Cricetulus griseus: one gene and its partners. The main gene of each other region encodes a partner of the protein of the gene in region 4 in a complex. Links are inferred from orthologs where the notes say so. Each region holds a gene or a part of one and is shown on either strand. Other genes may lie near its edges.

What was found.
Region 1: Polr2e (region 4) and Gtf2f1 share a complex: the UniProt entries of both Homo sapiens proteins name them as parts of the TBP-based Pol II pre-initiation complex. The link is inferred for Cricetulus griseus from reciprocal best matches to the Homo sapiens genes POLR2E and GTF2F1.
Region 2: Polr2e (region 4) and Taf1a share a complex: the UniProt entries of both Homo sapiens proteins name them as parts of the pol I pre-initiation complex. The link is inferred for Cricetulus griseus from reciprocal best matches to the Homo sapiens genes POLR2E and TAF1A.
Region 3: Polr2e (region 4) and Ercc2 share a complex: the UniProt entries of both Homo sapiens proteins name them as parts of the TBP-based Pol II pre-initiation complex. The link is inferred for Cricetulus griseus from reciprocal best matches to the Homo sapiens genes POLR2E and ERCC2.
Region 5: Polr2e (region 4) and Rrn3 share a complex: the UniProt entries of both Homo sapiens proteins name them as parts of the pol I pre-initiation complex. The link is inferred for Cricetulus griseus from reciprocal best matches to the Homo sapiens genes POLR2E and RRN3.
Region 6: Polr2e (region 4) and Asdurf share a complex: the UniProt entries of both Homo sapiens proteins name them as parts of the PAQosome complex. The link is inferred for Cricetulus griseus from reciprocal best matches to the Homo sapiens genes POLR2E and ASDURF.
Region 7: Polr2e (region 4) and Polr1h share a complex: the UniProt entries of both Homo sapiens proteins name them as parts of the pol I pre-initiation complex. The link is inferred for Cricetulus griseus from reciprocal best matches to the Homo sapiens genes POLR2E and POLR1H.

Annotation. Positions count from the first base shown.
Region 1 is NC_048598.1:96,546,490-96,550,570, reverse strand, and holds the start of Gtf2f1 (general transcription factor IIF subunit 1), read right to left. Parts: upstream 2,801-4,081; 5' UTR 2,536-2,800; coding exon 2,524-2,535; intron 2,439-2,523; exon of another isoform or gene 2,433-2,438; coding exon 2,386-2,432; intron 1,070-2,385; coding exon 997-1,069; intron 1-996. Other genes in the region: adenylate kinase isoenzyme 1-like, read left to right, coding at 3,154-3,214, 3,920-4,081. UniProt on the Homo sapiens protein: TFIIF is a general transcription initiation factor that binds to RNA polymerase II and helps to recruit it to the initiation complex in collaboration with TFIIB. It promotes transcription elongation.
Region 2 is NC_048598.1:11,101,042-11,105,103, reverse strand, and holds the start of Taf1a (TATA box-binding protein-associated factor RNA polymerase I subunit A), read left to right. Parts: upstream 1-1,262; 5' UTR 1,263-1,567; exon of another isoform or gene 1,568-1,921; intron 1,922-2,795; exon of another isoform or gene 2,796-2,805; 5' UTR 2,806-2,807; coding exon 2,808-2,931; intron 2,932-4,062. UniProt on the Homo sapiens protein: Component of the transcription factor SL1/TIF-IB complex, which is involved in the assembly of the PIC (pre-initiation complex) during RNA polymerase I-dependent transcription.
Region 3 is NC_048602.1:27,967,166-27,970,665, forward strand, and holds part of Ercc2 (general transcription and DNA repair factor IIH helicase subunit XPD), read right to left. Parts: coding exon 3,474-3,500; intron 3,132-3,473; coding exon 3,008-3,131; intron 2,917-3,007; coding exon 2,820-2,916; intron 2,735-2,819; coding exon 2,601-2,734; intron 2,531-2,600; coding exon 2,362-2,530; intron 1,919-2,361; coding exon 1,800-1,918; intron 187-1,799; coding exon 117-186; intron 40-116; coding exon 1-39. UniProt on the Homo sapiens protein: ATP-dependent 5'-3' DNA helicase. Component of the general transcription and DNA repair factor IIH (TFIIH) core complex, not absolutely essential for minimal transcription in vitro.
Region 4 is NC_048598.1:100,836,432-100,840,463, forward strand, and holds the start of Polr2e (DNA-directed RNA polymerases I, II, and III subunit RPABC1), read right to left. Parts: upstream 2,801-4,032; 5' UTR 2,699-2,800; coding exon 2,642-2,698; intron 1,028-2,641; coding exon 829-1,027; intron 1-828. UniProt on the Homo sapiens protein: DNA-dependent RNA polymerase catalyzes the transcription of DNA into RNA using the four ribonucleoside triphosphates as substrates.
Region 5 is NW_023276807.1:74,975,384-74,978,883, reverse strand, and holds part of Rrn3 (RNA polymerase I-specific transcription initiation factor RRN3), read right to left. Parts: intron 3,217-3,500; coding exon 3,127-3,216; intron 849-3,126; coding exon 710-848; intron 1-709. UniProt on the Homo sapiens protein: Required for efficient transcription initiation by RNA polymerase I (Pol I). Required for the formation of the competent pre-initiation complex (PIC).
Region 6 is NC_048595.1:402,525,206-402,529,311, reverse strand, and holds the start of Asdurf (ASNSD1 upstream open reading frame protein), read right to left. Parts: upstream 2,801-4,106; 5' UTR 2,693-2,800; coding exon 2,603-2,692; intron 981-2,602; coding exon 927-980; intron 1-926.
Region 7 is NW_023276806.1:228,752,000-228,756,252, reverse strand, and holds the start of Polr1h (DNA-directed RNA polymerase I subunit RPA12), read right to left. Parts: upstream 2,801-4,253; 5' UTR 2,758-2,800; intron 1-2,757. UniProt on the Homo sapiens protein: Core component of RNA polymerase I (Pol I), a DNA-dependent RNA polymerase which synthesizes ribosomal RNA precursors using the four ribonucleoside triphosphates as substrates. Can mediate Pol I proofreading of the nascent RNA transcript.

The DNA of each region.
Region 1 (4,081 bases), about 4.3 Mb from region 4:
AGGCAGGAACAGACAGGAGGGTACCTGGAACTCACTGGTCAGCAAGCCCAGGTTCAGTGGGATACCCTGACTCAGAAACTCATGAGGAAAGTCTGTGAGAGAGTGTTGCCTGCGAAGCCTTAGACTTCAAGACCCAGGCAGGTGAAAACTGACCCCTGAAAGCTGTTCTCTGATCTCCAAATTGTGTCCCACACTCATCTGTGGCCTAACATATGTCATCCAAATAATAATGTGCAAAGTAACTAAAGAAGACACCTGTTGTCAACCTCTGGCCCTGAGATGCACCACATGCCCACAAGTGCATGTGCACACACGAAATGTCACACACAAAAGGGACTCCAGGGAATGGGGCCCTTAGAAAGACCACAGAGACAGGCGGTGTCCACCAGGGGATAGCTCAGATGCAACCAGACAATATGGAGATATAGCATTTTAACATGGCACCCAGAATAGTGGACAGTTTAAAACTTTGGCCTTTAAAATTTCCTTATTTATTTTTTGGTTTTTCAAGACAGGGTTTCCCTGTAGACCAGGCTGGCCTCAAACTCACAGAGATCCACCTGCCTCTGACACCTAGTGCTGGGATTAGGATTAAAAGTGTGTGTGCCACCAGCGCCCGCCATACTTTGTCTTTGTTAAAGCATGGTCCAGGTATCCTAGTCTTCACTTGAGCTCACTTCATAGCCAAGGATAGTCTTCAATTTAAGAACCTATACCGCATGCCTGTGTTGGGATGATAGACACGTGCTACCAAGTCCAGCACACATGGGGTCCTACTTGGCCTGCTATATGCTAGTTGATGCTCCATTAACCAGCCACAACCCAGGCTTGCTTTTTTTTGAGACAGGATTTATGTAGTCAGACCACACCTCCAAATGGTTGGAACCACACATCTGCCAGGGTTGTAAGTGTAGCCGCCACCACTTCAAGAAAGTGATGACTGTAACCACCACCCAGTTAGGCCTCTGCCCCAGCCACCCAGAATTATAGACTTACCTGGTTCCAGGTAGCAAAGTTGACTTTATCAGCTGCATTAAAAGCCATTATGTTGTACTTTTTGGTTGTGTTCCTGGAATGGGCAAGAGAAAATTCAGTCTACTGATTAGTCATTCAAAAAATCCACCATGATTACACCCCTTGGTTGTAGGTAATTCTGGGAACTCATAAAAGCTCCAGAGCAGTGGTTTTCAACCTTCCTAAAGCTGCACCCTTTAAAACAGTTCCTCATGTTGGGGTGATCCCCAACCACACAATTATTTTCGTTACTACTTCCTAATTTTGCTACTGTTATGAATCATAATGTAAATATCTGTGTTTTCTAATGGTCTTAGGCTTAGACCATTGGTCTAATTAGACCAATGGTCCAATGGTCTTAGACCCTGTGAAAGGGTCATTTGAACCTAAGGGGTTACAACCCACAGGATGAGAACCACTGCTCCAGAGTTTGTTTAAGAAGCTAGATCAAAAATAAATAAATAAATAAATAAATAAAATAAAATGGATCCATCTCCTCCAACCCTATCAGAAGTTAGCCACACCCAGAAGCCCCAGCATGCTCACAGTGCATAACTATACATGCAGACAAAACATTTTTTTTTTTTGAGACAGGGTTTCTCTTTGTAGCTTTGGAGCCTATCCTGGCACTAGCTCTGGAGACCAGGCTGGCCTCGAACTCACAGAGATCCGCCTGCCTCTGCCTCCTGAGTGCTGGGATCAAAGGCGTGTGCCATCAACACCCGACTCAGACAAAACATTCTTACACATAAAGATAATAAAAGAAAAAGTGGGCCACCAGGCAGTGGTGGCAAGTGCCTTTAATCCCAGCACCTGAGGGAGAGGGGGGAGCAGAGGCATGCAGATCTCTGTGAGTTTGAGGCCAGCCTGGTCTACAGAGCAAGTTCCAGGACAGACTCCAAAGAAATACAGAGAAACCCTGTCTTGGGAAAAAGAGGAGATCAAGCAGGCAAGAGGCGGAGGTGTGTGAGGGTCTTGGTAGGTTTAAGGCCAGCCTGGTCAAATCAGCTAGAACTACATTACACAGTAAGACTGGTCTTCAAAATAAGAGAGGGCTGGGTATGGCTTAATGGTGGACTACTTGGCCTCGCATTCATCTAAGTTTGGGAATTTTTTTTTTTTTCGAGACAGGGTTTCTCTGTGTAGCCCTGGCTGTCCTGGAACGCGCTCTGGCTTCCAGGCTGGCTTCAAACTCCCAGAGATCCACCTCCCTCTGTCTCCCGGATTAAACGCAGCCACCGTGTGTGGCCTGAGCGTCTGAAAATAGGACAGAGTCATCGAGCCTGACATTAACTACGGTGTGACTGTTACTGTGACTTGCACGGAGCCACCACCGGGCCGAGGAGCGTGTGGTGGGTGTGGGTGACTTACTTGGGGACTCGGACGACATACTCGGTGACGTTCTGGCTGCCGGGGCTCTGCAGAGGAAGCACGGGTTTGTGAGGCGAGGAGAGGCCGTGGATCTGTCCTGCCACCCCCACCCCGCCTCTCCGTTTCATTCATACTCACTAGAGTCGCCATGGCCGTTGCTCAAGCGGTTCCGGGGCGGCGTGATCCGATGCTCTTCGTGGTATCCCTCGGTCCCGGGGAAGGCAACTTGCCCGGGAGTTACGTTGGTATGATCCTGTGTTTTGTGTCTCCAAACCCTTAAGTCTCAAGAAGACGTGACTCTGACCCGGAACTAGAACTGCCACACCGGGGTGGGAGCTACCTCAGCACTCACCTAGCTCAGGCGGTCTCCAGCCTCTGACTAGCGCTCTCGCCGCCAGCGCGAGTGATTTATTCACGGCGCGTGGGCACGCCCCTCGTGACGTCACGGCTCAGGCACCGCGGTGCATCCTGGGCAGGGTGGGAGTGGCGTCTTCTGGCGAGTGCGTCCTCGGCACTCCTGCGCATGCGCCAACGTGCCAGTGGCGGGTGCGGAGGCCGCGTTGCCATAGCAACCGCGGCCGGCTCCGCGAGAGGACTCTTGGGGCTCCGGGGGGGGGGGCGGGGGGCTGGGATTCCGTTTTCTGTGCCCCGGGTGCCGGGGGGAATTCCGGGCATCTTGCAAAAATGAGCCCCTTGTGACGTCGAGCGGAGCCAAGGGGTCGGGGCAGGTGGGAACCCGGCCCCCGCGTACTCCGGCATGCGGGCAACATGGGTCTGTGCCAGTCCACGCTGCCCCAGGTGGGCAGAACTTTGAGGACCCAGGAGAAGGGTAACGTGGTGGGGTGGTTGGCTTACGCGGGTGGCGGACGGGGCGTGGGAGCAGGTATCCCACCCACCGTGCGGGTGTGCTCACACTAACGCGGCAAGAACGCAGCTGCGCATGCCCTCTCCCCCCCAGTGGTGGATGCCTGCGGAATTACAGCTCTAGAGGAAGGGCTCAGAGAACGGGGGCCTGAGGGATGCATAGGAGTTGGTTAAGCAGAGGGACAAGGCAGGCACAAACCTTGAACCATAAACGGCTACTGACTTCCACGGTTGGTAGCAGAGACATTCATTTCTTCACCATCAAGGGCCATGCACCCTGGGTTACAGAGGCTGGCTAGGAGGACCAAAGCGAGCCGAAAGAGAGAAAGAACCATGGCTGACTATGGAATGCATGGGGGGAGGGGGGTCTGAGGCAGGGGGAGGACAAGCTGGGACGCTTGACCCCAGCACGGGGGGAGGTGTGACTGTAGACGTAAGCAGGTAGGTTAGACAGGACCACCGCATGCTGGACTGAGCAGGGTGCGGCTGCGTGAGTTTGAGGGCCTCTCCCTTTCATTATCTGTAAAATGGGGTGATGGAATTACAAGGGTGCTCCAAGGAGGTCTGTGCAAATGGCTCAAGAGAATCCCAGCACTGGGATCCTTCGATTCGAGACCAGGGCACCCTGAAGACACGCACTAGTACCCACTGTCTTCCATGAACACTACAGATGTCCTGAAGTCTCCCCTGATCATCTTCGTGGTGGGCGGCCCTGGCTGCGGGAAAGGGACACAGTGCAGAAACATGGCCACCAAGTACGGTTTCTGCCACGTGGGGCTGGGCCAGCTGCTGCGGGAGGAGGCTCAGAGGTGCACCCGGCGGGGTCAGCAGA
Region 2 (4,062 bases), about 90 Mb from region 4:
CCAAACAAACTGAAGGGACCAGCTCCCCATTTCGGCAGACATGACAGTAACACGTGCTTGCCATGACCTTGTCCTAGTCACTAGAAAGTCAGATGCCTGCCTGTGGCAAGGAACCAATCAGAAGTTAGCTGGTGGCGCTATGCTTTACGGCTCTGGGTGTGCTTTATGGACAAGTGCACAGCAATGGCTTGAAGAGCATGGCAACCACCCTGGGAGGGCCTATGGGCCATAACAACCAGTTGGCCAATCAACACAGGGCAAGCCCTCCAAGCCTGGAGGCACACCAATCCTGAGCCTGTGTGTACCCCTAGACACTCCCCTTATTGCTGCCCTATAAGATCTCTATGCAGACTCTTCGAGCTGTCTTTGCTATCCGAGCTCGTTAAACAATAAAGCCTTGTGCAGTTTGCAGCAAGCTTTCGAATCTGCCTGGTGATTAGGGTGACCACAGTCCTGGGCTGAGACCCTGGAGGCCTGAGGTTTTCCGGGGTTCTAACAAAACCAAACCAAAACAGGCTTAAGGGCAAGGAGTAATGATAGACCGGCTAATTTCCATGGAACTCAGACTCTTATTTTCAAGCAGTAAATTCGGAGTTTAGGAGGAATCCATTGCATCATTTATGCAGCCTTAACTATGAACTATTGTTTTTTTCCCAATGACTTTAAGGTTGCCTCCCTTTAGCTTTTACTCATTAATGCTTGTTCACATCTGTGTAATAATCTGCCCATTAACCGATCAGTCCTTCACAGAGTATTTTTCCAAACATCTCAGGCCAGTCTTCAGGGTCATCTTCCCTCGCAGCGTCCCCCTTCTCATACGACACTGCAATTCCACTATCCACCTCCATAATCAATACACGGCTGCCAATGTCCCTCTTGAGAGCGGACTCCAGGCCGATCGCCAGAACACTCCACGTTGATAAGCGAAACACGGACTCTTGCTCCAACTGTGAAGGCAGCAAGATGCTAAAAACTGTAATGAAAATAACTTTCAGAGCAGCAATCAGAATCGGCAATGCACCCCCTGGCCACACTCCGGTCTTGCGATGGGAACCTTCCAGTTTCTGGCTGGCACAGATCAAGGTGTAATCAGGGCCAAACCAAGGCGAAGGCGGAAGCTAACACCCACTTCCGGGTCAAGCCTCTTCTGGCGAGGCTCTTGGGCTCTCCCCCCAGGCCACGCCCGACGGAGGGCGGGGCTACGCAGCGCGCTACCCGAACGCCGGCCGGCTGGTTATGCGCAGGCTCACAGGAAGCGCTCGCTGAGGACTTCCGGAGAGGGTTTTCCCTGACAGCCCGCGGCGTGCGATCGGGCGAGCGTGGCGCCGGGGAGAGCTGTGTGAGCGCCCCGCGGTTCTGGGAGCGTCAGTTGCGGGCCGGGAGGTTTAGGTTACCGTGGCGGCGCCGCCGCCGCCAGTCTGAGGACTCGGGGCTCGCGTCAGGCGTCCGCAGCGTCCGTGGGGCCGACCTCACTGAATTGAGGCGTCGCTTCAGGCTTTGGCGCCCCACGGTGGAGTCGGCTTTCCTACAAGGCTTAGTGCGCGCTCGCGGGGCCGGCCGCCCCCAGGTGAGGTGGAGCAGCACCCCGGGGCTGGCCCTGCGCCCTCCCCGCGGCGCGGTGACTAACCACGCACCCTCAGCCTCCCGCGCCGCAGGGAGACGCTGCTGCCAGTCAGCAGGCTCGAGACCCGGGCCCGTCTCCAGCGTCGCGGAAAACACACACACACACACACACACACACACCAGCAGCGCCAGAGCACTCACCCTGGACCAGTCTGAAGGTGTCCGGAGCCAGGGTGGCGCCGTAGGATTGCAGAAAGGAGGGGCGTTTGGTGGAATTCTAAATCGCAGTACCCGAAGCTTCAATACCGGATAGGTACTCAGAACTGGGGTCTGCACCCTTTCGACAGTTCAATCCAAGGTCAGTGGCATATGGCTGCTTTTGTAGAGTCATTTATTTGCCATGGCCCCCTGCCCACCTCCTAGCCATTTTTTTGGTCACACCAGCTAGTCTGTGTGCTCTGCATTTGCTAGACTCCTGTCTTCACTCCTTTTGGTCATGTTACGTATTTTGTATAAGTCCTTCAGCCTTCCTTCCTTCCTTCCTTCCTTCCTTCCTTCCTTCCTTCCTTCCTTCCTTCCTCTGCCACCACCACCCAGCAAGTCCTACAGTTTTCATTACTAAGTGGGAGAGAATAGGGTTGCTGCTGCGATTAAATTAGATATTTTATAGTCTAAGTATGTAGTTAAGTCCCAGTAAATACTAGCTCCTGCTGTTACTGTACTTGCTATATTGTGTTATGTATTCTTCAGTTTCTTTATGTAGCTTTAGCTTTTTTACTTTGTAATTAAGGATGTCTCATTTTTGTATGTTCTTGGTTCAGAGCTTTGCAGTATTATGTTTTATGGATTTTAGAAACTTTTTATTTTACATGTGTGGGTGTGTGCCTGCATGTGTGTGCCTATGTTCTGTTGTGAAGGTGGTTGTATGCCCTGGGACTAGGGTTCCAGAAGATCATGAACATGGGTGCTGGGAACCAGCACAGGTCCTCTAGAAAAGCAGCAAGTGCTCTTCACTGCTGAGCCGTCTCTAGTCCCCAGACTTCTATTTTTAAAAAATGTGACTTGAGTTTAGGCTGTTGTTGACTTAAACAGATTCAGTGTTTCCTTGAAAAGAACTGTCAGATACAATGGGCCCTGCTGCTCAGGTGACTTTGCTACAAGAAAAGATTGCTTTTCAGCTCAAGTCAGGTGCCTGTGGGTTAACGTGTACTGACGCTAACTGATACTCTCAGTTTGGAATAGATATGAGCGATTTCGATGAAGAATTGACAAAGCTTGCTTTGGCAGAGGATGGCAAGAGAGAAACCTCTGTGTTCTCTAATCCAGGAATGCATTTCCCGTGGCTTCAGGAGCGAATAGAGACTGTAGGTAAGTGGGACAGCACTTTCACTTTAATGCAACTAAGTGTCGAGACTGAACACAGCTACAAAGTGAATGACCAAGCCAGGTCATTTTTCCTCCCCCTTAATTTCTGTTGTTGTTATTGTTGTTAGACAGGGTCTTGCTGTTTATCCCTGGCTTGCCTGGAACTCACTTCATGTAGCTCAGGCTGGTTTAGAACTCCTGGTTGTTCTTGCCTTAGTCTCCAGGTGCTAGGGTTACAGGTGTGAATCAGGGTGCCTAATATTGTAATAAGATTAGATGGGGGTTTCCCTTTTCTTTCTTACAGCTGGAGACAAAAAGGAAATTAGAAGAAGTAGCTTTTTTTTTTAAATTTTATTTTATTCTTTTGGTTTTTTAACACAGGGTTTCTCTGTGGCTTTGGAGGCTGTCCTGGAACTAGCTCTTGTAGACCAGGCTGGTCTCGAACTCACAGAGATCTGCCTGCCTCTGCCTCCTGAGTGCTGGGATTAAAGGCGTGCACCACCATGGCCTGGCCCTTTTTAAAAAATAATACACAGTCTATATTATGAACTACACATGTATAAATTTATATATATGAATATAGTTCTCTTTACTGAGCACTTGTATTTGGCATTGGCAGAATATTGGGGACGTACAGATGAAGAAAATGTGGTCTCATTGAGGAGCACATACATAGGAAATGTTAAGGAAATTTCTGTTGAGTTTAATGGAAATGGTTCCTTATAGCATTGATGTAATAGGTTTAAAAGGCATCTTTCTTCATTTTTAATCTAATGTAGATGCAGACAATGCTTTTAGTGGGTTAACGTCTATAGGACTATATGAAGAAGCCGTGGTGGAATGCTGCATGGGTCAGACCTTTAAATACACTTAAACCTGCACTTTTCTTATTACTCTCCATGCATTTCTTGGCTCCAAGAATTTAGCTCCCATTTAAAAAGAAAAATTCATTTAGTTTTATATTCCCAGTAATTTAGTCCTCAGTAAATGTGAGGACACTGAATTGCAAAGAAATTAAACTCGCCCCCCCTCCCCCAGGTTTCTCTGTGGCGAAATTAAACTCTTAAGTAATGATATAAGGAAGCAAATCAGGTCTGTCTGATCTCAAGTCCTGTACTTCTAAACATAAAGAGG
Region 3 (3,500 bases), on a different chromosome or scaffold from region 4:
TCAAACACAGGCTTGATGGCCAAGGAGGCGTCCATACAACTGTGGGATAACACAGTCGTCACCCAGGGCAGAGGCCGGGGGCGAAGCCATCCTGTCCACACAGGCTTGCATCTCACCTGAAGTGCAGGATGGGGTTGGCAATGGTCGGGGTCCTGTCATCAAAGGGCTCGATGATAATGGTGAAGCCTGGGGAGGAGGAGGCCGGTGAGTGTGCACGACAGCCCCCGCCTGCCCCTGCCCCTGCCATGGCTAGCGCAGGACAGGACTGTACAAACGCTCAGGTGTGGAAGCAGGGTGAGCCAGGGCTTCACTGCACGGCCCCGCAGGGAGGCCAGGCCCGCCCTCCCCCAGGCCGGCCTCACTCCCACCTGTCCCCCCCTGCTCCCCACACTGCAGTCGGGGAGACGCTATGGAACCTTAAGTTGGCTGGTGTCTCCACACTCCTGCCATACCCAGAAGTGTGCCCATGAACTCTGCAGGGCCAGCCCTTGCTCCCAGCTACGGTATCAGCGTCATGTCCCAGGGCCCACTTGGTTGGTTGGGTCCTTGTTCCACAGGCACCCTGGGAGCCAGGACTCCTGCTCCTCACAGCACAGCCACACTTTCTAGTGTCCCCTTCTGGAGTGATCTTTGCTCCTAGCCCCCAGGCTGTGGCTCCCAGATGAGGGTAGGGATATGGACAGGAGGATGAGGGGGGCAACTAAGGCTGTGCTGGGCCCAGCCTGGCTGTGTGTGTTAGACTCCGGGCCCAGCCTGGCTGTGTTAGATCCCGCTGTCTCCACGGGGCCCAGCCTGGCCCATCTGTTGACTGAACAAATGATTACATTCACAGATTCTGTTTCACTTGGCAAGGAAAGACCAGGTCTTGTGTCCAGCATCATGCTGAGGACCCAGCAGAAACCAACAGAATCTCGGTCCTACCCAAAAGGGCTCTCCTTGCACGGGGGAGACAGCTAGCCAGAGACCCAGCTGGGACAGAGGGAGGGGCAGGCCCAGGATGGAATGGAGTGGGGGTGACTTTCTGAGAGGTAAAGGACTTGACTCGGGCAGGTGATGGGGCACAGGGAAGGAGGCTTTCTGTAAGACTGTGATGGATGCATCAGTAGGTGGGGGCCGGAGGGAGAACAATGAAGGCCAGGAGAAGAGGCTGGGTGAGGGCAGAAGGAAGCAGACAGCTGCCAGCAGCCCCTTCTTCCAAGGCTGGGCCAGCTGCAGGACGCCAGCTGACCTGGTTTCCTGGCTACGGTACTAATCCCCAGGGATAAGCTTAAAAACTCAGTGCAAAGCTGGGGCGGGCGGGGGCAACAAAAGCTGTAGCTTGTCCCCTCTCCCTGTGCATCACCTGCATCCCTCTCCCTCAAGGGCTTTTACATCTGGCCGCTTTCTCCCATAGCTCTCCCCAAGGCTCCCTTTTCCTGTCCCCACAGTCTATGGCTCCCCCTCTCTGTTGGATGAACCTTGAAAACAACAACCTCACCAAGTACATCCCTTGCCCAGACCCTGCCATGGCTCCCGGTGCCCTCAGGCACACATGAGGACTTCTCCCCCAGCCAAAGGTGGGCTGACCGCACAGCATCCCTCTGCTCAGTATCACAGCTCACTCGAGTTCTCCCCCTGCAGCCAGGAGGAGCCTCTAGACACACGAATCTGAACACGAGGCTCGCTCACTCGCTTGTTCCCCAGGGCCCTCATAGTAGCTCAAATCCCCTGTCTCACATGCCCAGACTTCCTGCTAATACCCCACCCGACTTAGCTAGGCCCCCAAGTCCGCTGCCAGGAGGAGCAAGAGGGGAGCTTACCCTTGGCGTAAGTGCTGACGAGAGTGGCGAAGTTAGCAAGGAGTGTGAGCGGGGAGAAGTCAGCCAGGTCAGCAATCTCCAAGGTGTGCAGGAGGGAGCGCAGGCGCTCAGCACAGAACCTGAGAAGCCATGGGGTCGGGAGAGGGAGGGAAGCAGCAATGGCTGGGACTCTCGCCACCTGTTTACCTGGGCATCGTCTGTGGCCAAGCTGTCCCCACACTGCAAACATCCACAGCTACCGCACAGCACTAGCACACGCACACGGCGCCCAGGTTTGCCGCTTGTATGCAAATTCTTGTCAAACAAGACCCATGGCCATCAGTCACTGTGCTGTGCAGCCAGTGTCGTGGGCCCCACGCTCAGAAAGAACAGCCACACACTTTCCCAGGCTCGCATATGCACACGCATAGGGCTGCAGAAGTACCAGGTAGTCCTGCAGCGGTCACAGCCAAGAGCTGACCTCACAGTGACACGGCTCGCTCCACATCCGACTCTGACCTGACCCCTGACCCCGTCACCAGCCACAGGTCTGGACCTGAGGTCCCCATGGCAGCATGCGCACCTGAGGGGCTTGCGTTGGATGCACACGCGCTGAGCCAGGCCGCTCAGGAAGGCAGGAGGGCTCTCCTGTACCACATGCTGCACGCGCAGCCGCCACTTGACGTACTCCAGCAGCCGCCGCAGGAAGCCCAGGAAGTGCTCGGCAGTGCGGATGGAGCCTGGCACGGCCTCTGCAGGGAGACTGAGTCAGCTGGCACGGGAAGGAAGGCGTGTGAGGGTGGGGGGTGGGGCACGGCTCACCCTGCAGCACCTCGTCCGGCAGCACAGGGTTCGCCAGGTGCGCGTCTGTCTCCCGCGCCGCGCTGGCCTCCCGCAGCCCCTCCACCAGGCGCCGGTACTCGTCCCGCAGCCGCTGCTCGTCTGTCTCCTTGATCCTGGCGGGGACATGGGACAGAGCTGGAATGGGGCAGGTGTCCAGGGCCACGGAGGCAGGCGGCACACAGGGAGCAGAGTGGGCACCTGAGCACCGTCTTCTGCAAGGTGTCCAAGTTGCTCTGGCAGCGGTCCAGAGTCCTGCGGGTGAGGTTTACACTCATGGAGTCGATGCAGACATTGTCTAGGAGGAAAGCAGACAGACATGGGCTCAGCCGGCTTGGGGGCGGGGCAGAGAGGCCGCCGCTGTCTGCACACCCTGGCACCCTCCTCACCAATGTTGTGGGCTTCATCGAAGACCACGACGGCCTTGCGGGCCAGCTCTTTGGACACCAGGTCTGCGATCTTGGGGTCCAGGAGATAGTGGTAGCTGTAAACCACCACGTTGGCATGCAGGATCTAGGAACATGGAGGGATAAGTTTTTGCCTTGGGCCCTGCTGCCCCCGCCATACCACTCCTTCCCAGGTGTACAGACGTAACACCAAGACAGACAGCAGGTGGATGGAAAAGACAGATGGGACCACCCAGGCAAGGCATAAACAGAGGCTGGAGACAGGAAGACCTAGGTACCAGGTCAACAAAGATGCAAGCAGACAGATGGGCTAACGGAGGGGTGGGCAAAAGTGGCTCATGCCTATAACCCCCATAGCTGGGAACCTGCGTAAGGTTCTTCTAAGTTTGAGGCCAGCCTGGGTTATAAGTGAGACCCTGCCCCAGAAGAAAACAAAACAACTCTTCACCGAGTATCGAGCCAGGAAGTAGGGGCA
Region 4 (4,032 bases):
AAACTGCTGGATCTCAGACTCAACACTCCCAGTATATTTTTTCTTTTTGAGACAGGGACTTCTTGCATCAGTGTTCTCAACCCATTGGTCCTGACCCTTTGAGACCATAGGAAAACATGAGTATTTACATTATGACTCCAAACAGCAAAATTACAGATAGGAATGTTAGGGTTGGGGGTCACCACAACGTGAGGAACTGTTTTTATAAAGGGTCACAGCATTAGGAAGGTTGAGAACCACTGCTCTACATAGCTGTCCTAGCACTCACTGTATAGACCAGGCTGTTCTTGACCACCTGCCTCGTCTGTGTCTGCCAGGTTCTGGGGTTATGGGCATATGATGCCACGCCTATCCCTGCACCCCTAATTCTCACAGGCCCCAGGACCTCAAAGGTATTGAAGGCAACAGACTGTCTGGGGAGACCAGGAGGCAGCTGCACAAGAAGGGCTCAGGCTCTTTAATAGCACCCCTCCCACTTTCAGAAGTGCCTGGGCTGTAAGGCAGAAACTACACAACACAGCAGATGGGAGCCAGAGGGCCCAAGAGCTGGTGCTGGGACTCAAGGGGCAGAGAATGGACACCAACCAAACAAGGGAAGGTTTCCAGGGGAGGCAGGGACAAAAGCAGGCTGGCGACTACAGTAGTCCTGCAGGCAAGGCTGGGCCTGGGTGGTACCCACCCTCACTGGCTGGACAGAGAGCAGGAAGACCACAGAGGGAGGGCTGTGACATGTTACCTTAACTGGCACCTGAGCCAGGGACTGGGGAATGCCACCAGAATTATGGGACCCCAGAATCAGGCCTCTGTTACTGGTCCAAGGGGCCTCACCTGGGAAGAACACAAACATCTGGTCTGTGGGATCATCGTTGTGGGCCACCAGCACTGTCAGGTCTGTGCGCCTGGGTCTTCCTTCACTGGGTTTGTCCCCAAACTGAGCCTTGAACTCCTCAAGTGTCTGGTCCAGCTCATCCTGGGTCACCAGGTAGCCACGGTCATGACACAGCTGCAGAGACAAAGAATCACCTGTCTTTAGAGAGGAAATGAACACTCAGCATGAACTCCGGGACTACAGTGCCAGACCTATCCCTGAACAGCCTGGGCTGCTCGGGGATAGCATGAGGAGGAGCACTTAAGTGACCCAGCAGTACTGGCCAAGCCACAGTCTGGTCCCCAACCAGGCCCCACCCCACCCCAGCCTCACTGGGCAGGCTAGGGTAGATCCCCTGGCAACTTCCACCTCTCAGTGCCCCCACCCACTCTTCCTGTTTGGTCTTAGGCGTGATGAGGGAAGAGTAGAGTGTAATCCAGCATCGGGTTGAGGGGCAGGCCTGAGAGACCAGGCCCTGGGGTCCACCCAACGCAAAAATTAAAACTATGCAGGCCTCTTTCTCAACTGGGGTCTGGTCTGTCTCTTCCCTCTTCGTCTCCTTCTTTTTGTCTTTTGTTGTTCAGAGACAGGGTTTCTCTGTGTAGCCCTGATGTCCTAGAACTCCCTCTGTAGAACAGGTTGGTCTTGAACTCACAGAGATCCGCCTGCCTCAGCCCTCTGAGTGCTGGGATTAAAGGTGTGGACCACCACTTCCCAGCCAACCTAAGTTTCTTGGGACAGGGTCTCACAATGAAGCCCTGAGTGACTTCAAACTTTCAAATAGGCCAGGCTGGTCTTGAACTCAAGAGACTGACTGGCCTCGGGCCCAAGAGTGATGGGATGAAAGGTATGTGCTACCAGATTAGTATTTTTACCTTTTCTTTATTTTGGTTTCTTAAGACAAGGCTTCTCTACAAAGCCCTGACTGTCCTGGAACTCGCTAATGTAGATCAGGCTAGCTTCGAACTTACAGAGATCACCTGCCTGTGCCTCCCCAGTGCTGTCGTTAAAGGCTTCTCTCTGTCACTACGCCGGGGCAAAACTGTTTTTTGTTTTTTTCAAATATTGTTTTTCACTCTGTGTGAAACAGTCGAGAAAAGTGCGTCAGACCCGCTCAAACCAGGGTTACAGATGGTTGTGAGCTGCCGTGTGGATGCTGGGGCCTGGGCTAAGTGGGTGGAGGGCTGCCCCGCAGGCAGAGAACCCAGAGTCTCTCCCTCCGGCCCCCCATAAACACGGTGTGAGCACGCAGAGAACCCCGAGTCTCTCCCTCCGGCTCCCATAAGCGCGGTGTGAGCGCGCAGAGAACCCCGAGTTTCTCCCTCCAGCCCCCCATAAGCGCGGTGTGAGCGCGCAGAGAACCCCGAGTCTCTCCCTCCGGCCCCCATAAGCGCGATGTGAGCGCGCAGAGAACCCCGAGTCTCTCCCTCCAGCCCCCCATAAGCGCGGTGTGAGCGCGCAGAGAACCCCGAGTTTCCCTCCTCCGGCCCCCATAAGCGCGGTGTGAGCACGCAGAGAACCCAGAGTCTCTCCCTCCGGCCCCCCATAAACACGGTGTGAGCACGCAGAGAACCCCGAGTCTCTCCCTCCGGCCCCCATAAACGCGGTGTGAGCGCGCAGAGAACCCAGAGTTTCCCTCCTCCGGTCCCCATAAGCGCGGTGTGAGCGCGCAGAGAACCCCGAGTCTCTCCCTCCGGCCCCCATAAGCGCGGTGTGAGCGCGCAGCAGCCCTCCCGAGGCAGGGTGCGGGCTGGAGGCCGGCCGGTCACTCGCCTGCATGATGGTCTTGCGGATCTTCCACAGCCGGTAGGTCTCCTCCTCGTCGTCCATGCTGCCGCCGTCGCCCGGGAACCGCTGCGCCTGCGCCGAAGCCGAAAAGAGCTCCTCCCACTCCTGCGCACGCAAAGCGTCTGCGCGGAACAACGGAAAGCCCTCCCCTTCCCGCTCAGCGAGCTCTGTTCTGTCTTCCGCCTGGAAACGCGACTTCCACCTTAGGCTGCGTAGCGGGCAGCCCCGGCGATCCGCTGCGCGAGACCACCATCGAGAAAATGTCGCGATACTTGGCCGTCACAGCTTAAGAGTTCTCGAGAGGGAACTGGGCGCGTAGGCCACGCCTTTAACGCCGCCCTGGGGAGCCAGAGGCAGGCGGATCTCTGAGAGTTCGAGACCAGCCGGGTGTGCAGAGCGACAGGACCGCCAGGGCTGTTATACAGAGGAACCCTGACTCAAAAAACAAAACAACAACAAAAAGAAATGTCTATGTATCTTTTTCCTCTTTGGGGGGTGGGGTGGTTCACTGTGAGCCCTGGCCGGCCTGAAATTTGATATATAAACCAGGTTGTCTCAGTCTAGAATTAAAGGCGTGTACCAGCATGGCCAGCACTGGAAAACCAGATGCTCGCCATACCTCCCATTCTGTCCCGCCCGAGCTTGTCCTCAGAGTCCGCAGGTCATCTCTAATTCCTGCCTGGGAACCTGTGCTGACCCTGACTTGGAAAGGCAAGTTTCCAGCAAACTAGCGAGGCCCCCACCAAGTCTGTCTGACCACTGAACCCACTGCATGGGCTGCAAAACTGGGCTGCGCCTGGGACACCCTGGTTATAGAAGCCACAAACGCAGAGTAAGGGGATAGAGACACAATACGTTTTTGGAAAAACATATCTAGATCTGGGAGCAATGGTGGGTGCATTTGGTCCCAGCACTCTGGTGGGCAAATCTCTCTCTCTGAGCTCCTGACCAGACCCTGGGGGTTTTTGTGGGGTTTGTTTTGGTTTTTGGTATGGGGAGGAGCCCTTGTCATTAACTTTCAGGTGACAACAACCCTCTCATTCTTTCGGTGGTTGGTTTTGTTTTGTTTTGAGACAGGGTTTCACTGTGTAGCTCTGGCTATCCCAGAACTTGTCTGTAGACCACACTGATCTCTAACTCACAGAGATCTGACCATCTGACTGCCTCTGTCTCCTGAGTACCGGGATTAAAGTCCTGAACCACTACTTTCAGACAACTCTCTCATTCTCGGTGGTAATGAATGGGCAGAGCCTGAGTACCTGGGACATTAGGAAAATAATTGGTGCCACTGAGGGGAGTCAGTCCAAAGTGTAAGGATACATGCAAGTGCCTGTCTGTAGGAGTCCCTCCTCTGATCTTACCTCCTGTGGTGGTTT
Region 5 (3,500 bases), on a different chromosome or scaffold from region 4:
CTGAGACTTGTTCTATAGACCAGGCTGGTCTCAAACTCAGAGATCCACCTGCCTCTGCCTCCCAAGTGCTGGGATTAAAGGCATGTGCTACTATGTCCAGCTAATAAACTCATTCTTTTTTTTTTTTTTTTTTGGTTTTTCGAGACAGGGTTTCTCTGTGGCTTTGGAGTAAACTCATTCTTAAACCACAGCAAAGTGCATGGAAATGCAAGCTCTAGGCTGTTTCTTGAGGATTAGTTTGCTCAGTGATGTTAAAAAGTCTCAACACGGGGTATAATGAAGGCATCCAGCAAGGGCTTCTCAAGGAACTATACAGGTGGTCAACACACCATTCTTTTTGTTTTTTTGGTTTAGATTTGGAGCCTATCCTGGCACTCGCTCTGGAGACCAGGCTGGCTTCGAACTCACAGAGATCCTCCTGCCTCTGCCTCCCAGTGCTGGGATTAAAGGCGTATGCCACCACCATTCTTAAACTTCTTGAGCATCTCAAACACAAGGGACCTCTTCTAAAGCTGGTCAGATTCCATCTATTACCCTCTATTACACATCAGTGAAAACACAACCATCTTTGAAGTTAAATACTGGAATCTTAATCCCATTTCCCCCATTTTCAAGCTGTGTGACACTGCCATGGAAGTTGATCTGTCTGACCCTTTCTTATCTCATTCTCAAGATACTGGCCAACTATCTAGGTTACTCTGGTTGTTACCATCTACACGGCAGACATCCTCAATATAGGACAGAAGCAAGGAGAGCAGGATGTCTAGACGCTCAGCGATGGGGTGAGCCATCTGGCTAGTCCGATCCAGGTCAGCTTTCCTTTCAGGTTCAGTGTCCTCATCTTCATCCTATGAGGAAGTGAAAACTGGCATTATGAAAAGTCACTGAGAGCCGGGCAGTGGTGGCATATGCCTTTAATCCCAGTAATCAGAAGGCAGAGGCAGGCGGATCTCTGTGAGTTTGAGACCAGCCTGGTCTACAAGAGCTAGTTTCAGGACAGCCTCCAAAGCCACAGAGAAACTCCGTCTTTTTTTTTTTTTTTTTGGTTTTTCGAGACAGGGTTTCTCTGTGTAGCTTTGGAGCCTATCCTGGCACTTGCTCTGTAGACCAGGCTGGCCTCGAACTCACAGAGATCCGCCTGCCTCTGCCTCCAGAGTGCTGGGATTAAAGGCGTGCGCCACAAACGCCCGGCCAAGAAACCCAATCTTGAAAAACCAAAACCAAAACAACAAAAACAAACAAACAAAAATAAAAACCAAAAAACAAACAAACAAAACAAAACAAAAAGTCACTTGAGAGTTTGGGGAAAACTGGCTTAGGCTATCATTTCTTCTAAAAGAGAAGAGTAAATGCAGACACTGTCCCAGACTCTCATTCAGAGATGTGGTTCAAAGTCACTTTTTGAATTTTAAACAAACACCCGTCTCTTTTAACTTTTTTTTATTTGGGGGTCTGGGATATAGAACAGGTGGCAGAGTGGGATACTGGGACTGGTCCCTCATGCTCATAAGCATGTGTGCCAGCACTAAGCTGTATCCCCAGCCTTGACTCTCAGAAGATCCAAACACAACTGGCTATGCCAACAGCACATTCCCATCCTGATCTTGGTGACTTGTGTAACTGCATTGCTGGGGTCAAGTCACCAGCTGCTGCGCTGTCTGCCAACAACTTGTAGCTTCTCCAATCACAGCCTCAGAACCAATGCCAAGGAGTCAAAAGAGGCAGAGAGCCAGAGGATCCTCAGTGAGTAAAGGTGTTTGCCACCAATCCTAGTGACCAGAGTCTGATCTCCAGAATCTACATGGTAGAAGAGAACAGACTCCAGAAAGCTGCTCAAGGTACAGCTACTTCCTGCTACACCCCAGAAAACAGGCTCTCACTTAGCTTCACCCCAATTTTCTTGTTCTCTAATGCTTGGCCTCAAGAGTACCTCAATTTAGCTCAAACTCTGGGCAGTCAAGGCCCACAGGCCCACATCACACATTCCAATTAGGGAGTGAATACTTTAACGTACCTAACTGGCAAAACACTTACTAAACTGGGACACATTTTGCTTGCTGTTTCCACACAGAGGCTTGTGACTTGCAGAAACAATGAAAAAAAGTGAAACTCTTCTCCCCAAAAATAAATCTTACAGCCTTGGACATAAACTATTTATAGTCAGTAAATAACATGTCAGCACTGGGCAAGGTATCACAAGCTTGTAAACCCACAACATACTTATTTAAGGAGGTATTCTCAAGTTTGTTAAACAATATCATTTATGTATTGATGGGGAATGGTCTTCTGTATATGTTTATCTTATTGGTTGATGAATAAAACACTGTTGGCCAATAGGGCAGCAAGAAAGGTGGAACTAGGAGATGAGGAGGATTCTGGGAAACGTTGCAAGAGTCAGTTACTATGTAGGCTGCCAGAGGAGTAACACCATGCTGTGCATTACTGGGTAAGCCACAGCCTCATGGCAATACATAGATTGATAGAAATGGGTTAATAATTAAGACAAAGCTAGGCAATAGGAAGTCCAAGCCAACGGCCAACAGTTTATAATTAATATAAATATAAGTCTTGTGTGTTTATTTGGGGGCTCCAGGGCAGCTTTGGAACCGGGCAGGAAACTCTGTAACATATTTATGTATTGCCACAAGTATGTTAGGAGACACACGTATACATGCATGTGGAGGCCACAGGTTGCTTGGTTTATTCTTCCTCAGGAATGCTGTCCACCTCCAGAAAAGGGTCTCTCACTAACAATTACCCTAGACTGTCCAAATACTGTGCCAGGGGTCCTCCTGTCTGTGCCTCACTAGTGCTGGGACTTGAACACATACTACCACACCCAACGTTTTTCTCTAGGCACTAGGGGTCAAGCTTAGGTCCTTATATGGACAAGGAAAGCACTTTTCCAGGACAGCTATCCTTCCAGCCTCTCCACTGTTCTGTTTTAACACAAAGCCTTGAAAAGGCTTTAAGTAAGCCTATGAAAGGCTCTAAGCTATTAGCTGAGTTTTTCCACACTCTGAAGTGGTGAACTTCCAATGTATGCTTCTGTTAAGGATAAGAATCAAAATACAAGATAAAAATAAACAAGTTTAAACATCAACATCAGAACAAAGAGGTACTGACCATATTAAACAATCCTTCCGTGGTATCTGTCCCACAAGTCTGAGCTGCTGCCTCTTCAGCATCTTCAATATCCTGCCGGGATACACTCACCTATATCATAAAAACATAAATAAAGCAGTTAAAAATGCAGCTATTTGTAGCTGAAAATTAATCTACTGTATATACTATTGTTGTGAAATACTACTTTAACTAGGCAAAGGTGTGTTACATTTATGCTGTGGAATATTTAACTGTGTAAAGGTGTGTTACATTTGTTTGTGCTGCATTAATTATGTAATTATGTAAAGGTGTGTTACATCTGTTTCACTTTGCCTGCTGAAGGCACCCGTTCTAATAAAAAGCTGAACAGTCAATAGATAGGCAGGAGAGGGATA
Region 6 (4,106 bases), on a different chromosome or scaffold from region 4:
AATTTACAACATCAGGACATGATTTGCATAGTGATGCTCAACAATCCTATTATCACTTATTTTTGAGCTTCAGTAATATTCAAAACAGCAATTTATCAAATATAAACAGATACAAAGCCACTCGATACTTGCCACCTAGAAAGGGCTGTTTGCATAGTATGTGCCATTATGTCATGTTACTGTCAGTGACAAAGGCTACCACAGCCACAGGGTTATAATTTACTCTTATAAAACAACATGGAGACCTTTTCTGATCAATGAAGGTTCTTTATATTACCACACGGGCACAATACTATAGTTCTTTGCTGCTGTCAAACTTCAGACATTTGATAGAATGCCAATTCATGATTATTACAGATTGCCACTGCAGTTAAATGCCCATGTGTTTTCACGACTGTTTGTTTATTCATCAGTTACTCTAAAAGAAGCTCCAGGTCAAGTCTCATACAGCGTTTATACATTCTGCCAATCTGGTCTCCAGAAGTTTTGTATTAATTTGCCTTAGTTCTAATATTTCATAAATGACAATATCAGAAATGTTGAAAATGTCAGTCATTTTAAAATGCTTGAAAGAGAACAAAATCATTTCTTCATTTAAGATATATTTTTTTAACAGTAAAACTACACATGAGACAGCAGTTTATTTATGAACATGTCATAAAAAAGGAATTAAATAGGTTAAGTTCTTGGAGCATTAAAGTTTGCTGTGGAAAAGGAAGTAATTGTTTCTTTTTTTGTTAAAAATGTAATAGGGAAAGAATCCTGTCAACTTTGAGATTTACTGATACATGCAGAAAAACATGAAAAACAAACTAGGATACTTTAGTTTTAAATTAGTATGTTAGAATTTTGTAATTTTAGCATAAATGATCTAATTCCTGATTTTAATATACTGTATACTATTCCGGATTCCAACAGTAACTTACCCGATTCTTCTTCAGGTTAGAAAGTTCATCCACAAGAATTTTTTGTTCTTTAATCTATTAAAATAAAGAAAAACCTAAAGTAGACGTTTTCAAAGTATGTTTGGTGAGGAAATTCTGAATAATGGGACTGGGGGCTGTCACATACCACCTGTCTAAATGGACACTCTACAGGGCAACAACACCCAGCTGGACTCCGTGGAAAACAGCTGGAGAAGGAAAAGCTGACTTAGACTTGCCAGCTGCCAGTTACCACATGGCTTATACCTTAACCAAAGTGAGCCACTGTTCACCAAAATCAATACCCACCCTTTAATTAGTTTTATAAAGTTTTGTTGTACACTTTTTAAAAAAAGAAAATGAATGTGTTTCTCCCCTTCCCCAACAACAATTACTTTTCATGTATGTACTAGATGATAGCCAGACATTCAGATAAATAGTATTGGATGCCCTACCTGGGGAGATACAGCATCATTTTTCATCTTTGCATCATTCTGTTTGCATGGCAAAGACTGCATACTGCTGTTATCATTAAGCTAGGCTTGTTTGTGACCATCAAATGAATGCCTAACTAGGCAATAACTAATTTAAGTAACCACACACCATCACACACAGTAATAAGAAGCAAGGTCTTTTTTAAAACTCACACCCGCCCTAGTGAGTATGCATCCTTATGTCTCCACGATGGCAGAGGTGAGAGTTATAGTGATGAACTACAAAGCCACACGAGTTCATCTTCCTTGAGACTCAAGTCTGCTTGTATGGTGTTTTATGTTCATTTTAGGAAAGACAGGTAGACATCTCACTTTAGCTGACACCAAAGAAAACTGTGATACAGTGGGAATAAGGTCACTAACCCAAGATGTCACTTGGGACAGAAAAAAAAAAATGTAGAATTTAAAACGTTTAATACTCTCCACTATACATGTTTAAAGACTGTCTGTAATTGGAAGTTAAGATTAATGGTATAGTTCAGCAAGGTGGTGCAACCCTGAAATCATGGCTGTCAGGCAAGAGAATAAGGTCATGCTCCCCTCTCAAACAACAGTGTTTGCGCCTGGCCTGAGAGACACGAAAGCTCAGGAAGGAAGAAAGGAAGGAAGAAAGGGAGGGAGGGAGAGAGGGAGGAAGGAAGGAAGGAAGGAAGGAAGGAAGGAAGGAAGGAAGGAAGGAAGAAAGGAAGGAAGGAAGGAAGAGAAAAGGGGAGGGAGGCAGACAAAGATTAACTTGCAAGAGTCCTACTTAGAGACCATCAGATAAATGTATTTTAGGATCACAGTGGAGGACACAGGCAGCTGGGGACACCCTGAGTCAGAACAGCCAGTGACAGCGTCTGGAAGGACACTGGCAGATTTCTAAACTTTCGGGATGGATGTCAAGGATGGCCCCCAGGCGGGTGCGTAGCTAACAGGGTGAAGCAGATCCACAGAGCAACAGATCCGCGTGAAGGGAAGGGGGACGGTAAGGGGACAGCCCCACCAAACCTCCGCCAGTGTCTCTCCCCCCCCCCCTTTTTGGGGGACAAGCTTCTGTGCCTCCCTCTCTGCAAGTCTGCAGGAAGGAGGGGCAGCCTGAGGCGGGTGCCAAGAACCGACTACGGAAGCGAGGAGCACGCCGCCGGGCTGCCGGGCGCCGCCGGGAACCCCAGCCGGAAGGCGCTCCCCGGCCACCCACCGCACCTTGCTGTTAAGGGCCTCCGTGCGTGCATCCGACTTGTAGGGGGGCACCGGCGCGGCGCGATAGTCTGCTCGTACCCCACTTCGGGGCATCTCCACGCCGGGTCGCACGCCGGTGAGCCCACGGGGATGCACGCCGGTGAGCCGCCGGGACGGAACCGAGGACAGGAAGCCCTGATCCGGCGTGCGAGCTCTCAGTGGACCCGCCCCTTCCGGCATCCCGACCAATGGAGTACGCACACTCACCCCTGCGCAGTAGAGGGCGGTTGGGGGAGTATGGGTGGGAGACTAGACATAGTTATGGGCATGCGCAAACTGGTTTGAACTAAAGGCACAATTGCCTGGTTGCGGAGTTTATGAAGGCTCTGTGTCGTCCCCTAGCGGATCCGATGTATAATAATAATAATAATAATAATAATAATAATAATAATAATAATAATTATTATTATTATTATTATTATTAAAAGGTTCAGGTGAGCTGAGTGGAGACATGAGTATCTGGATCAGTCCAGGTGAAAGCAAAGATATTTTGAGACCAGGTGTGGAGGGGTATAGAGAAAAAGGCATCCTTAAGGTCTAAAACTGAGAAGTGAGATGTCGGGGGGATAGTAGAGAGGAGTGTGTAAGGGTTAGGAACCACAGGATGGAGGGGCACTACCATAGAGTTACGGAGGTCCTGAACCAGACAAAAAGTCCCATTAGGTTTTTTTACTGCCAGTATAGGGGTGTTAAAGGGGGAGGAGGTAGGACGAAGTAGCTTTTTCCTTAGGAGGTCAGAGATAATAGGTTTAAGTCCCTTAAGGCTCTGGAGTGGGAGTGGGTACTGAACTTGAGCAACGTACCTAGAGGGGTCCTGTAACTGAATGACAAGGGGGGATGGTGTCTAGCCACAGAAGGGTTCTGGTAGACCTTGGGGTCTACCTGAGAGGCTGGTAAAGGAAATGACGTACTGGAACCTGTAGGGTGAGTAGCTAGGAGGAGGAGGAGGGGAGCCGCTGGCGAGTCTGGAGTTGGGCGAATGTGGGGAGCAAAAGAAATAGAAGCTCCTACCTTAGCTAGAAGGTCCCTCCCTAGTAAAGGCACAGGACAAGTCGGTATAACCAAAAATGAATGAGTAAGGGGAATCCCCCTAAAAATACAGCTAAGCGGTGGAGTCTGCTGAGGTAAGTAAGGCTGTCCTCCTACCCTGACAATAGGAAGACGAGACAGAGAGGTGGGTCCCCAAAACTCCTTTAGGACTGAGTATGTGGCACCAGTGTCCAAAAGGAAAGAGATAAACCGCCCTGATACTTTAATGTCCACCCGGGGCTCCCTTTCAGAGATGATGGTGGTCGGGTCAAGAGAGCCTGGGCCCTGTCATTCATAGTCCTCATCCATAGCCAGGGCTAAGAGATCAACTGGAAGGCCGTCTGTGTTTGATGTCCTCTTGTCACCTGGGACACGGGGACAGACCACTGACCAATGGCCTACTTCCTGGCATCTAGGACATGGCTTGCTTGGTGCATGG
Region 7 (4,253 bases), on a different chromosome or scaffold from region 4:
TCGGGCGGGGGCTCAGGGGCCGGGCTCCAGGCCGGCTCACTTGGTGTTTGCCCTCGTGCCGGCCCACCTGGTGCTCGTTCTCGGGCCAGCCCATCTGGTGCTCGTTCTCGGGCCAGCCCACCTGGTGCTCGTTCTCGGGCTGGGCGTGCGGCTGGTGGCGGGGGAAGTGGAAGCCGCCGGGGGTGGGGATCGGGGAAGCCGCCGACAGGAGGAAGAGGAGACAAACTTGAGAAAGAAAGGGCTAAGGGGCAGGGGTCTTTCACCTTAAGCACACAAGAAACATACAGGTGGCTAGGTGAGGTCTCATTTCTGTAATTAATTTTCAGCCTGACTGTAACTGGTTTTAACTTAGTAAAATATTTGAAACTTAGCACAGCTGAATTTAAGACTGCATAGGGTTACATTATAGTCCTTAAACAGTAGCTACAAGTACACATTTTAGCTGCTTGCTCAAATGAGACAGGGTTTTTCTGTGGCTTTGGACCCTGTCCTGGAATTCAATATGCTGGACCAGGCAGGCCTTGAACTCAAAAAGATCCATCTGCCTCTGCCTCTGGAGTGCTGGGATTAAAGGCGTGTGCCACCAACACCCTAAACTTAACTTCTGAAAAGATAAACATCTTATAATAGATTAGCAGCTTTTATAAAACAAGAATTTTACATTGTCAGGCTTTGCTTAAAAATAATTTTAAATTGAAGCTCTTTAAGTACAAACATTAATAAAAATAAACATTTAAAAAACTGGTTTTAAAAAGAAATTTAAATTCCCTTAATATCTTTCTGTAATATATAGAAGCATTAACACTTTAAATCTTAACTGAAAAGCTTGTTTCTAAGATGGAACCTCTAATTTCCACGCGGTCATCTTTAGTCAGGATGGCGGTTTAAGTATCTTTTTTCAACTTCAGCAAAATGGCTGCCAGTCAGCCATGTGACCAGTTTGCCATGTGGCTGGTTACAAAATGGCCATAACTTGCACCCTTTGCTTAACATGCTTGTAACAGAACTTAGGTTATACCAGGAAAAAGAACATTTTAAAACAAGTATACATAAATTACTTGAGAAATAAACAGGACTTTTTAAAAACAGAATTAGCTTAATATGGTTAAAATTTTAACTTATATTACCATTTTTAAAATTTACTATTTGTTGACATGAGAAACCATAGCAAACAGTTTACATTTTTCTCTTTTAATAATCTCTTTTCTGACCTTCTATGACTTGCTTTAACTTTCTATAACTTTTTATAGTTCTTTCCTCTGATTTTCTTAGACATTCTTAGACAAATTTTTCTTTTTCCTTTTTCTCTTTATTATTTAAGTCTCCTACATTTTCTCTCATTTCTCAGTCAATGTAAAAATTTTTATCAAAGTCCCTTTTACAGTTTTTAATAACTTTTAATAACTTTAAGGCCTTTTTTTTTTTTTAGAAGTCCGGATCAGGCCAGATAAGTTCATACGCCCCAGCTCCATGTGCTCAAGGCAGAGACCTGGGGTGGGGGTGTTGGTGGTAACCCCAGACCCTTGGCCAATGCAGGGGTGGGATAATGGGATAAAGACCCCCTCGGTCCCCCTGCATACCATGTGTGTGGAGCACAGAGAAGGCCGAGCAGCCAGGCAGATGGCGGGCCTTGCAGCCATGTTCCCTCAGAGCAGGGAAACTCCCTTGGCAGGCAGGATGGCAGCTGGGGCAGAAACAGCCCCACTTGGCATGCCTCACAGACCCGCAGGTGGGGATAGAAAGGGGGTGGTGTGGTGGATCCTGAATTGAAAACCAATGATGATAACACAGAATAGACAGGAAAGAACAGACGCCAACCCAATCCGCCCGCGCCGCTTATAAGGCAATGGCGACGGAAGATGGGCTGCAGAACCCAGCGGCTACAATCATCACTAACTGAGGAGGATCCAAGTCCTTGGCCTCCGTTCGTACCTCCTGGGTGTCCTCAGAGCAGCAGTCTGTCCTCCGGGCGCATCTGCTGATCACAGTTGAGGTGGCATCATGTGCTCAGAGCATCAAGAAAAGACCCCTGACCCATGCATTCCATGTGCATGGGCAGTAGGGACAGAAAGAGATGTTTAACACAGACTAGGGTCCTATTCGGAATTTCAGATGGCTAGCCCCGTGGAGATCAACTTGGTTCGAAACCAAGTCTCCCCTATAGATTTCGGAAGGCTGCCGCCCGAACTTCCGCCTTAAACAATTCTTGTAGGCCTACTCACAGATGTCGCCAGAAACCCCAACATAGGACCTCCATATCCACAAAATTAACAGAAATAGTAAAATTGACACACAAGCAGACGGTTAGGGTGTGGGCTGCAACAGATCAGATAACAGATAACAAACCTGTTGCTCAACTGTTCAGTCACCCAGCCCATTCCAATCCTCTAGGCTTAACAGACACCAACAGCAAAACAGGACATCAGACAGGACAAACCCTGTGGCAAAGAAATGGTGCCCCAAACCAAAATTACAAACAACCCTTGGACTTCATCCAGGGCGGAACCAAGGATTCCAGAAATACGTCTATTTCTGTGCACGTCTGCTTACCCTATGGTTCAATTCAAATAGCCCTCGGACTTTTGTCCAGGACGGGACTTTGAAATATGTCTATTTCCCCCTGAAGTCCAAATTACAAATCACGAGTCCTGCGCAGGCTCAGATCAACAAAAGAGCAATTTCAAGTGGCACCAAACCAACAAAAACAAGCAAACATATAACATTGAACATATAAGTTGCGAGCTCGAATCATCTTACCTCCAAGATCGAATCCATTCAGGTGAAGGGTGGTCGCAAATCGCGGACGAGCCCCCAAATGTTAGACCCCCCGGAAAACTCAGGTATCCGGGGTCCCAGGCCACATTCTCGGTCACCCCAATCACCAGGCGGATTCGAGAGCTTGATGCAAACTGCATGAGGCTTTATTGTAATTTAACAAGCTAACCCCATGTTAGCTCGGGTCTTTTACCCACCCGCCGTGGCAGATGGCTCGCAAAAGACAGCTCCTAGGGTCTCCCAAGAGATCTTACAGGGCAGCGTAAGGGGAGTGTCTAGGGGTATGCACAGGCTCACTATTGGTGTGCCTCCAGCCTTGGAGGGCTTGCCCTGTGTTGATTGGCCAACTGGTTGTTATGGCCCATAGGCCCTCCCAGGGTGGTTGCTATGCTTTGTGCGTCATTGCTGAGTGCTTATCCATAAAGCACACCCTGGGTCATAAAGTATAGCGCCACCAGCTAACTTCTGATTGGTTCCTTGTCTCGAGGCAGGCATCTGACTTTCTAGTGACTAACTTCTGATTGGTTCCTTGTCACTAGGCAGGCATCTGACCTCTAAGTGACCAAGACAAGGTTATGGCAAGCATGTGTTCGGCTGTTATGGCTGCTGAAAGGGAAGCTGGTCCCTTCACTATCAGTCTCCACATGAGTTCATGCCCATGCAGAAACACCCACATGAATATCCAGAGCTGTCTAAAGGGTCACAGCATCAAGAAGGTTGAGAACCACTGCTCTAGTAAGTGAAGAGAGTGAAAATGCTAGACTTAGGAGTCAGAATGGAATGGTGAGAACCAATTCCTGGAGAAATGATCTGAGAGCAAGGACATCATTTTCCAGCTATGGGAAGGAAAGGACCAAGCAGGATGCAGGATTATGAAGTCCTAGAGGAAACCCCTAGCCTAGGACCTCAGATCAGGAGGCATGAGAGAAAACATTTTCTTTAAGCTTGGTAGGTTGGTAAATGCCTGTAATCCCAGAGCTTAGACAGGATCATTTGGAGCCAGAAGACAGTGGGCTTCGTAGTAAAGCCCCGTAACAACTCAGGCTGAAAAGTGGAACATCACCATACTCCAGAAAGCTTCATGTACTCCCACTCATAGCCACCTCCCGGCATCCAAGAATGTATTTCTAAGTGGTACTATTTGCAGTTACATTGTGGGGATGAACTTTTATTCATTGATGTTTTTAAATTCATCCTTGAAGATATATAGAACTTAAAATGAATGTGCTAAAAACAAATTACCTGGTCTGTTCACATAATTTGCACTATTGATTTTTTTTCTCAACTTGGAGTTATGCTTTTACAAAGAAAAAAAGAGCAATAACAATTCTATCCTTATGTTTCTAGTTCATGTGCAGGATTTTCTCCAGGACATGTTTGTTGCTCAGTCACTTAACAAGCCTGCTCCTATACCTTGCTATATTCCCATTCCATTGTGGTTATATACTCATAGTTAATAGGTCTGGGCATAATGGTAA